Linked DNA regions of Arabidopsis thaliana. The protein of the gene in region 3 binds, or shares a complex with, the protein of the main gene of each other region. Each region holds a gene or a part of one and is shown on either strand. Other genes may lie near its edges. The genes, in order: TIM17-1, TIM17-2 and TIM23-2.

What was found.
Region 1: TIM23-2 (region 3) and TIM17-1 share a complex: the UniProt entries of both Arabidopsis thaliana proteins name them as parts of the TIM17:23 complex.
Region 2: TIM23-2 (region 3) and TIM17-2 share a complex: the UniProt entries of both Arabidopsis thaliana proteins name them as parts of the TIM17:23 complex.

What each region holds. Positions count from the first base shown.
Region 1 is NC_003070.9:7,041,998-7,045,133, reverse strand, and holds TIM17-1 (translocase inner membrane subunit 17-1), read right to left. Parts: upstream 1,507-3,136; 5' UTR 1,398-1,506; coding exon 741-1,397; 3' UTR 542-740; downstream 1-541. Other genes in the region: DRT112 (Cupredoxin superfamily protein), read left to right, coding at 1,861-2,364. UniProt on the Arabidopsis thaliana protein: Essential component of the TIM17:23 complex, a complex that mediates the translocation of transit peptide-containing proteins across the mitochondrial inner membrane. Links the inner and outer membranes.
Region 2 is NC_003071.7:15,697,223-15,701,400, forward strand, and holds TIM17-2 (translocase inner membrane subunit 17-2), read right to left. Parts: upstream 2,133-4,178; 5' UTR 1,934-2,132; intron 1,662-1,933; 5' UTR 1,629-1,661; coding exon 897-1,628; 3' UTR 588-896; downstream 1-587. Other genes in the region: AT2G37400 (Tetratricopeptide repeat (TPR)-like superfamily protein), read right to left, coding at 1-144; AT2G37420 (ATP binding microtubule motor family protein), read left to right, coding at 3,328-3,624, 3,693-4,178. UniProt on the Arabidopsis thaliana protein: Essential component of the TIM17:23 complex, a complex that mediates the translocation of transit peptide-containing proteins across the mitochondrial inner membrane. Links the inner and outer membranes.
Region 3 is NC_003070.9:27,381,341-27,385,062, reverse strand, and holds TIM23-2 (translocase inner membrane subunit 23-2), read right to left. Parts: upstream 1,699-3,722; 5' UTR 1,508-1,698; coding exon of another isoform or gene 1,487-1,507; coding exon 920-1,486; 3' UTR 539-919; downstream 1-538. Other genes in the region: AT1G72755 (uncharacterized protein), read left to right, coding at 1,245-1,282, 1,480-1,507; AT1G72740 (Homeodomain-like/winged-helix DNA-binding family protein), read left to right, coding at 2,376-2,525, 2,915-3,129, 3,273-3,357. UniProt on the Arabidopsis thaliana protein: Essential component of the TIM17:23 complex, a complex that mediates the translocation of transit peptide-containing proteins across the mitochondrial inner membrane. Links the inner and outer membranes.

The DNA.
Region 1 (3,136 bases), about 20 Mb from region 3:
ATACGGACAGAGAAGAAGTAACACCAATGAAGGAGCTTGCTGAGAGATTTACTATGTATGATCCATTTGAAACTGACAAAGAAGATTCAGAAGACATATTTGTAAGAGAATGTAACAATGTTGATCTACCCTTTATATAATCCACACCTGCATTAATCTCTTTTCTTTTGTACTCTTTCGTTGGATTCAGGGGAAAACAAGACGCTATGAAATAACGAGTACAATAGCATTGGCGGTGAAACGCAATAAGGAAGTCATGTTTCATGAGAGGTTTCGGGAGAATGGTAAATGGAACCCCAATGACTTCACTTTCAACATCGCCTAGTTACAATATGAACTTTTCTGAGTAGTATTGTTGGTACTCTAATATATCTTCCACAACACTATATCTCAAATGTCTAAGCACATATAGTAGTTGTTGGTTCACTTTATATTTTCCATCTATTCAATTCCATAGTATCTCTTTCACTTTATAATCCATGTATGCTTCTCAATTCCAGTGAGAGAACTTGTTAATTTTAAAACTTATACGAGCAACATTATCACAAGAAGTTAACCTTCACGCTAATCATGTTGTAACAATTGGTAAATTATACATAAAACCAGACGGTATTATATCAATCCAAATTGACAATAGTCTCTAATTCATAATATTATTATATAAAACTTATTGCAGAATATATAATTCTAGTTACTAAGCTCTTAACATTAAAAGTAAAATTCAGACCTCAATAATTCCATCACTTAAACTCATAAGTAGGCACAGGAGGAGCATCAAAGCTCTCCAAAATGTGAGTTCTGCTCTCTGAATGATGATCCTCTGTTTCTTTCTTCTTCTTAAACAAACTCCCAAACCAAGATACCGAACCAGAAGAAGAAGAAGAAGTCTCCGGTACCGGTACGGACTGACCAGATATCTGACCCATACCATATGGTAAAGAAGTAGCTGCATGATCCTCCATGAACTGCTCGTTATGCGCAGTACTCTGAACTTTGTTTAACATGATACCAACTCCTTCTATCATAGCCAACAACACACCTCCGACTAAAGCCGATCTAGCAGACGCGCCTAAGCCTTGACGCAACGAGAGGAATCCTCCAGTGGCTGCACCAGATAAGATCGAGTTCCATGGATCTTCCTTTTGTCTTGCGTACACCAACGCACAATCGAAGGTTGAGTAAAGACCACCCCACACGGAGAAGCTTCCTCCGCTTCTCGGCCCGCTCATTCTCAAAGCTTGAACGCCGCCGGAGAGACGAGCTCCGCCGGGAGAGTTGTAGATTCCTCTTATGAGGTGATACGCTGATCCACCAACAGCACCCATCGCAAACGCACCTCCGACATCATCTAGGATCCGATCCGGACATGGCTCTCTCGATGATTCTGGAGTTCCCATTGATTTTCGATTTTGATCTACAAGTAACTTTTTAGGGTATAAGAAAAGAGCCCTTGAAAACGAAACTAAGAATGAGGAAAAATTACAAAAATGGAAAAATATCGTGTTGTTCACGTTACTTGACCATGGTCAAAGCCCATTAAGGCCCATTTGTAAACACGCTTTATCACAAAATACTAATATAAAAACGCCACGTCATTCAAGAACCTTATCTTTATTTAAAACGTGGACAAACATCCTCCACCTCATAATGCCATGTCACGACACAGTATCTAAAATCAACCAATCACAACGCGTCTTTATAGATAACTTGTTTTTTTATGGAGTTTGCTTTTAGAGCCATCCATTGTCCTATCTCACTTTCTCTCTTTCACCACATAAAAACTCATAAACTCGATCGAACCAAAGCTAAACGAAAAACTTAAAACCCAAATCTTATCACTACTCTAAAAGAATCTTCATCATGGCCTCAGTAACCTCAGCCACCGTTGCAATCCCATCTTTCACCGGCCTTAAAGCCTCAACCATCAAATCATCCGCCACCGTCAGAATCCAAACTGCTGCTGTTGCATCACCGAAGCTTACAGTGAAGTCATCTCTAAAGAACTTCGGAGTCGCGGCCGTAGCGGCTGCAGCTTCAATTGCTTTGGCCGGAAACGCCATGGCAATAGAAGTTCTCTTGGGAGGAGGGGATGGGTCGTTAGCTTTTATTCCCAACGACTTCTCTATAGCTAAAGGAGAGAAGATTGTGTTCAAGAACAACGCTGGATACCCACACAATGTTGTCTTCGATGAAGACGAGATCCCAAGTGGCGTCGACGTGGCCAAGATCTCGATGGACGAGCAAGATCTACTCAACGGTGCGGGAGAGACGTACGAGGTTGCTTTGACCGAGCCAGGGACTTACAGCTTCTACTGTGCGCCACATCAGGGTGCTGGTATGGTCGGTAAAGTCACCGTTAACTAAAATGTGTGTGTGAGTAAGTGAGGGAGTCTCGGACTCAATTAGAGGCTCTTCTTTCACATTCTTACATTATTACATAAAGTGTTTTGTAATTCTAAAGAGTGTTGAATCGAATGGACCGTGATTGTTGTTGTACTGTGACTGGTTCCATAAATGGTTTTTCTTGGTTTATATATGTAGTCTTATGTCTCGCCCTGAAGTTATGATTAATTTAAGTAGGAAAGTGAACTGTTTGAATAAGCGCTTTTCATAGAGGTATTTAGTTAGATGGTCTAATTTGAAGAAAATTAGATATATGACTATGGTGCTAAATAGTAGTTGGTAAATAATTATTTTTGTTGCAGATTGACCAAATTATCTCAATGCACTCTTTGGGCTATTGTGTATTTTTAAAAATGTGGCTGTAGATAAAATAGTAAATTATTGGATGAACATGTAATCTCGCATCATGAATAAAAAAGTGCATGATAGCATGTTTTTTTTTTGATTAAACAGTGTTGTTATAACATATTCTTGTTTAAAAGACGCACAAAGCCATTAGTTATTTATGGACAAATTTGTAATCGACCAATTACTTGAAAAATAGAAGGTTTGTTAGTGCAAATTCCCTATTTTGGATTAAATCGAGAGTTGTGGAGCCAGTTGATCTACCATCACAATTTCAAAAATAATCTAAATTACATCCTTACTAAACTAGCTAAGACATGTCACAAAATGTAATAATGTGTATAAATGCAGCATATCAACTTTGCTCATTTCGTCAGAAGGGTTTTAG
Region 2 (4,178 bases), on a different chromosome or scaffold from region 3:
TGAAATGCATTTGAAGGATGATGTTGATCTGGGTAAGGATCTGAGAGAGAAAGACGAAGGCTTTTTGGGGAAAGATGAAGAGAAATGAGTGAAAGAGAGGTGATTTGGTTGCTGATGAAGCTGTAGCTTCCCTAGAGACTCCATGATTGCAAAGAGAGAGAAAACCCCTAAAAACCCTACAGTGAGATTTGAGGAAGAAGAAGCATCAAAAGGAGCCTTCGAGTTCGAATATGATTCAAGTTACGGCGTCGTTTTTGGTCCCTGAATTTGGGCCTTTATAAGCCCAAGACTAGAAGAGGAAATGTAAATATCACAAATCAAAACGCTGATCTCTTTCCTTAATCCGAATATTGTTGGTGTGACCAAGCTTTTGTGATCCTACTTACTAAGAAGTAACAAGCACAACAATTATCATGAATCAGTACTGCTAAGGATATATGATTGTTGTTAGAACTGTTCATCTTCTGATCAGTCTGAAGATTTCACAAACCACTCTGATTGATCTTTTTCTGAAGTTTTGAAGTACTTGCTGTGACTACAATATAATTGCTGTGTTTGAGTTGTGTGGATGGGCTAAGATATTGGACCAAGGGATTCATTTCCAATGCTCAAACATTTTCCACTGGCGAATATTGTTAAAATCTATAACTACATTATTTAAGAACCAACAATATCTGTGGAATGGTTTCACAAAGAGAATATTCCTAGATTGAGTGCATAAGCTCATTGAAACATAACCATAAGTGAAAAGAGAGAGAACATAGCATGCTGATTCTTCCATGAACAAGAAGAATTCAGCTGAGAACTTAGGATAGACAAAAAGACGACGAAATGGAATTGATAGTTGAGGCAGTAGGTAAACCATTGGATGACAGAGAAATAGATGTCCACAAAGCTTACTTGAACTCAAATGATGGCACCGGAGGAGCATCAAAACTCTCCAACACCTCTGTTTTACTTTCACTGCCTGGTTGCACCTCCTCCTTTTTCTTATCAAAAAGCCCTCCAAACCATGATGATGATGATGATGATGAAGCTGTATTCTGGTTTTGACTCTCTGACCTTATCTGTGCTTGACTCTGCATCTGCCCCATCTGCATTCCTTGCATCCCAGGCATTCCTTGCATTCCGGGCATCCCAGGCATTCCCTGCATTCCCTGCATCCCAGGCATTCCTTGCATTCCAGGGTCCTCCATCATCATATTCTGAGGCTGAGCCAGTACCTTGTTCAACATGATCCCAGCTCCTTCAATCAAAGCAAGCAAAACCCCTCCAAAAATAGCTGATCTCGAAGCAGCACCAGCCCCTTGCCGCATAGACAGAAACCCTCCAGTTGCAGCACCAGCAATGATAGAGTTCCAAGGATCCTCCTTTTGCCTTAGGTACACCATGGTACAGTCAAATGTCGAGAATAAACCTCCCCAAACAGCAAAACTGCCTCCAGTACGAGGTGCGTTCATGCTCACCGATTGTGTTCCTCCAACAAAGCGACTACCTTTAGGAGAATTGTAAGTCCCTTTAATGAAATGAAAGGCAGATCCTCCAACAGCTCCCATACCAAAAGCACCACCGATATCATCGAGTATACGATCAGGGCAAGGCTCCCGAGATGTCTCTGGTGTTCCCATTATTAGATGCCTCAGGCAATGATTCTATCAAACCTGTAATCAAATGAATATTGATTCATTAACAAATAGTAAGAAATTTAGGGTTTTGTAAGTCACTGCGAAATCAACAAATAGATCTCTGACTAATTCCAATTAAATACTGAACATATACAATCGAACGAAGAAGATTAGGGTTTATCAAAGATCCGTACTTTACGATCGAAAGCAAACCATAGAAAAAGGTGGAAACTTTGTGTATAGAAATGAATCTAAGAGAATTGAGAAAGCACTGTTGTTGATGATAGATGAGAATCGAAGAAGCATACCTGAGACTAACGAGGAATTAATCGACGGACGAGTTTTAGAGACGAGTTTGAGAGAGAGAGAAAAAATGAAGGAGGTGCGACGGTGAGCGAGAGAAGGAAGGTAAAAGAAGAAACGGCGTCAGGGTTTATTAGGGTTGGCTAGAAAAAAATAAACAAAAAAGTTACAGCGACCAAACTATTTTGCGTTTAATTTTTTGTCAGCTTTATTTTTCCGACACTGTTGCGTTTTTTTTTTTTTTTTTTAATTTCCCTCTCTTTTTTGCCGGCATCGCTCATTTTTCTTTTCTTTTCGAATATGGTTGCTTTATTTTTTATTGTTTTAGGATAATTTCGTTCAGTAAAATTTAAAAAAGGAGCCAAAAGTTTTTTCAATTGCCCAAACTAGTTAAAAGAAAGACCTGAGAGAGAAAGTAATTAAACCTATTAATAAAAGCCCAAATAGTTAGTAGAAGATTTAAAGTAGAGAAGCCCAATTTGGAGTAGCCCAAGTTTGGAGTAGCCCAAGTTTGGAGTAGCCCATAGACTAAGAAAAGATTAAAGGATGTTGTTGTCTGTTTACCCGTCTTGAACTCACGCTTAAAAGCTCCTTTATAATGCAAGAATGTCATTAACTCTCTTACAACGGTACGTTAGTGTATAATGTATACAGATTGTTAATATATATTGGTCTTCACAAGTTACAACATTTGGATTAATCACACATAGAACAGTTGGAGACTGAATTAAATACTCTCATATTCAATTACAAATTCTTTTGTGTTTTCTTTTCTTTCTCTCTAATTTTGTCAAATCAATGATAATAATGAGCTAATGATCATTTTTTTAATTTATCCATCTCCAATAGTGCTGATTCCAAATTCTTTCCCCAAAAAAAAAGAAGTAGTAAATCCATCTCACATATATATGATTGTATTGGCAAAAGTGTTTATTTAAGAATAAAATCAGAAAGTAGTAGATTTACAATTCCTTTTTTTTTTTTCCCTTTTTTCCATGTTTACAAATCATAAAGTTGTTGGATTATTGGAACAATTTTTTGACTGAAATATTTAATATCATAATACCTGTAAATAAATAATCTAGCAATATATGAATACTGAGACAAAAAAGAAGAAGATATTTGCGACTTTTAAAAAAACTTTTGAAATTAAAGGTAGTGTTGAGCTCTCTAGTAATTCGAATTTGGATCTGCTTCCACTCCCAACGGTTACTTACCCTAATCTTTTTTTGTTCTTCAAATTCTCTCTCAAACTTGAAAAGAAGTCTCTCTTTCGATCTCCAGGATTCGGCTCTGTTTCCTGTAAGTGAATCTTATTTAGAATTCGAATCTCTGGGATTCTGATCCAACCTTTCTCAATTGATTAGGGAATTTGAATTTGATTTCACAGAAATCGAAGATGTCGTTTACGCCAGAGGTGGTATCAAGGAAAAGTGGAGTAGGAGTGATTCCATCACCTGCACCGTTTCTAACTCCTCGTCTCGAGAGAAGACGACCTGATTCTTTCTCTAACCGTCTCGATAGAGATAATAAAGAAGTCAATGTTCAAGTGATTCTACGATGCAAACCATTAAGTGAAGAAGAGCAGAAATCTAGTGTTCCTAGAGTCATCTCTTGTAATGAAATGAGAAGAGAAGTCAATGTTCTTCATACTATTGCTAATAAGCAAGTAGACCGTCTTTTCAATTTCGACAAGGTTGGTTGGTCTCTTTCTCTACTTGATGGTTTTGTATTCAAGGGTCTCTGATGGTGTTTATTCTATAGGTTTTTGGTCCTAAGTCACAACAACGGTCTATATATGATCAAGCTATTGCACCTATTGTTCATGAAGTCTTGGAAGGTTTTAGCTGTACTGTGTTTGCTTATGGACAAACAGGAACTGGGAAGACTTACACTATGGAAGGTGGAATGAGGAAAAAGGGAGGGGATTTACCTGCGGAGGCTGGGGTGATTCCCAGAGCTGTTAGACATATTTTCGATACTCTTGAGGCGCAAAATGCTGATTACAGTATGAAAGTAACATTCTTGGAGCTTTACAATGAGGAAGTTACGGATTTGTTAGCTCAAGATGATTCCTCAAGATCTTCTGAGGATAAGCAGAGGAAGCCCATTTCTTTGATGGAGGATGGGAAGGGTTCTGTGGTTTTAAGAGGTCTTGAAGAAGAAGTTGTGTACAGTGCTAATGATATATATGCTCTTCTTGAACGAGGTTCATCTAAAAGGCGTACAGCTGATACTTTGTTGAATAAG
Region 3 (3,722 bases):
GAGTTCCCTTATCTTTGTATATGAAACATTCTTTTAGTTTTGTTCATGTAAAATTCTACACTTTAAAGAAGACTTGTTTATTGATGTAAAGACCCTCATTCGAATGAAGAAATCAGACGAAATGTCATTTTGCAGGTACATGATCTTCTGAAACAAAACAAAAATTCTAAGCAAGCTGCAAAACTGAAAGTTTAAGGCTTTAATAAAAAGATTAGAGGACACTATTTGTTCTTCATTTAGAGCAGCTGATAAGGTCTAGAGACGGTAAGAGTTTAGAGAAGGTTTGCTACACAATATGCCTGAGACTTGAGAACCAAAAACCACAAAACCAAAAGTGACTGATCCATCATCATAAGCTTGTGAAATCTTGGAGACAAAATTAATAGCTAAGAGCAGAGAACAGTCCAGAGAAATAGAACCAGGGGGATATAATAGGTAACAAAATAACACCATCAAATATCAGGTTAGTACTCAATGAGATAAACAGAGGTATACAATTATGTGAACACACTACACCATCCCAATTAACAAAATGATAAGAAAAAACTTGAGAGAAGAGCTTCATTTTCAAATGTAATACAACACATCAGTTTCTCAACGAATCAAGAAAGAGTTAACATTGATCAAAAACAGAAACATAAAACACTAACTAGAACAAACACACTCATGACAAATTAAATTACCAATCGGCAAAACATTTAATCAGTATGAATATAAGAAAAAGGTTTGCAGGTTATTCTTCAAAGTGAAACTGCATTATGACTTGACATACAGACTTGTTGTACCTCTAGAAACCAAATAAAGTTTTCATTTTTATGATTCCAAGACATACCAAACCTATCAAATTCTCACCATTTCCCCTATCAAAAATTTCAACAACGACCCGAAAAAGAGTCTGCCAATTAGACTCTTGCAGTCTTCAAATGGGCACATACCGCTTCACAATTTGCTTCCCAGCTACAACAGCTCCAGCCGCAAGTCCACCAAGAGCACCAGCTACAGCTGCAGATCTCACTCCTCTCGCCGCTCTACAAACAGCTCCGGTTCCAAGACCAGCCACCACACTGGTCCAAACATCATCTCTATCCGTGGCAGCCACAATACCACTCTCGATCCCTGCGTAAACCAATCCAATGATACCAATCCGATTACCCCAAGTTCGACCAGTTTGACCAGAAGAGTTCAAGATCCTGTTGATTTTGAGCTTAGTAGTGTCGCCAGATTCGAAGCTTTTGACTCCAGTGATGACTCCAACAGAAGCTCCGGCAACGGAGCCACCGAGGTAAGCTGTTCCGGTGTAGAAAGTGAGATTCTCACCCCAAGATCTACGTTGCCTTAAAGCCTCCTCCGTGAAGAGAAACTCAGGGGAGGTAGGAAGCTTGTAAAGGTACTGAGATTTGTTGATTGGGACTTCGTAGTTTTGGTAAGGATTGTAAAGTCTTGTGTTTTCGTCTGACCCATGATCGGATCTGTTATTAGCCGCCATCGATGGAAGAGAAAAGTCTAGGTTTTAAGGATTTTGGTGGTGGCTAGAGAGAGAGAGACGACGGAGAGGAAAGAGAGAGAGAGAAACGTGTGATGATGTGGTTGTGTTGTGTCTCTCTGAATGTTTGGTTTGGTTGCCGAAATGAGAAATGAAACCAAACTAAACTAAAAATCTATGTTTAGGGTTTTTAGGGAAAGACTCAGTCCAGTTGTTTCCAGATACGCGCAGTACCAGATTCGCTTAATACTCGCGTTTACGTTTATTTCGAACTTAACCCCATTTATTTTATTTTCTCTATTTAAACCCAAGTTGGTTTTCTCTTACCACCACACACTGTATTTGCTGATATTTCGAATGTGACCCCATAAGTTTAATTTTTACAAAATTAACCTCTTCAACATTGGACTTTTCAAAGTCATACTTAATTACTTTGCAAAATTGCAATCCATCGTGACAACCAAACATCCTCGAATTTTCAGGTGTTTCTCTTATAATGTCAGAAATATTTTTACGACGAACGAACCTAATTTTATGAATTTTTTTTGTCATCAGTTTTTATTTAGAGAACTAAACTTCAAATAAAATAATTAAGGATTCAAATACAAAGCTTATTTGTTTTTAATTTAAGTCAAAAGGCCAAAAAAAAAAATTCGATTTAATTTCGAGAGCGTAAATAGAAGACAAAATAAAAAGCATAAATTCGGAAGTAAATAATCGAAAAAGTTTTGCAAACTGGAAACCTCCTCCCGCAGTCACACAACTGCGCAGAGCCAAAAATAAACGAAACCTCCGGCGAAAGCTACGGCGAAGAGACTGCGTCTAACTCCGTTTACACGCCGATTGTCTTGGAGAGAGAGAGAGAGCACGAGGTAAATCACGCAAGGGTTAGATGGGAAACCAGAAACTAAAGTGGACGGCGGAGGAAGAGGAGGCGTTACTCGCCGGAATCAGAAAGCACGGTCCTGGAAAGTGGAAGAATATTCTCCGGGATCCAGAATTCGCTGATCAGCTCATCCATCGCTCCAACATTGACCTAAAGGTTTCTCTTTTCTTCACTCACCTCTTTAAAATCACTCTCGTTGAACCATATATTAAACCTAGACATCGAATTTGAGACCAACCCGGAGTGCATTATGTACTCTGTCGTATCTGCTTAGTTTAAGATCCATAAAAAATCAAAACTTTTGGCAATAGGTTTTATTAGTGTTGCCTCTTATCATTGGTTATAGGATTAGAGATTCCTTGGATAGATTATAAGTTTTTTTTTTTATTGATTCAAGTGTGCAATACCTAAAGCTAGCTTGGTTGAGTTGGAGATTTGAGGTGGAAAGAGTAGTACTGTCCTTCATTTTGCTATGGATTTCTTTTACTTGGTGGTAGTCTTATGAAGAAGAGTTTGAAAATTTTGTGTGTTTCAATACTTAATAGGATAAGTGGCGTAACTTGAGTGTTCCCCCTGGTACTCAAAGTTTAACTAATAAGGCACGGCCAGCAAAAGTCAAAGAGGAAGGCGACACTCCGGCTGCAGATGCAAATGATGCTGTCACTATTCCACGGCCTATTCCTACTATTCCACCTCCTCCCGGTCGGCGTACTTTACCTTCTGAGTTGATCCCTGATGAAAATACAAAGAATGCTCCTAGGTTTGTCTTTCTTTGTTCTCTATTTCTCATACTTGAGGCCAGAAAGTATGATGAGAGACTAGTTCCATAAATGCTAGTCTATCAACTCTGAGTAATAATCTTCATCATGTATTGCTAAACTTCTGATATGTCCCTATTTTCAGGTATGACGGGGTGATATTTGAAGCTCTCTCTGCTTTAGCCGATGGTAATGGATCTGATGTCAGTTCCATTTATCATTTCATTGAGGTTTGACAAATTTCTCTCTGCTATTTATTATGCACAGATCAGAAAATTATATGTGCTCGCTTTGTAAACTACTTAACAGATTATTAGAGACATCATCTATATATGTGGGAGGGATAGTTATGTTATTGGCACGTGTAAACTCTATCTTACATTGACTTGTGCAAATGGCTTATTACTACTATCAGCAATCTTAGATGATTCGTCCTTCTCAAATGAGAACACCGAGTTCTAAATGTAAAGTCTTATACTACTAATTATTTGTACTTTGACGTTTTATAGTATGATAATACTTGTCGTGAAGCTGTCCACTATGCATATCTGAAAAAATGTTAGAACTCTTGATTTTACTTAAATTTGGTCACTTT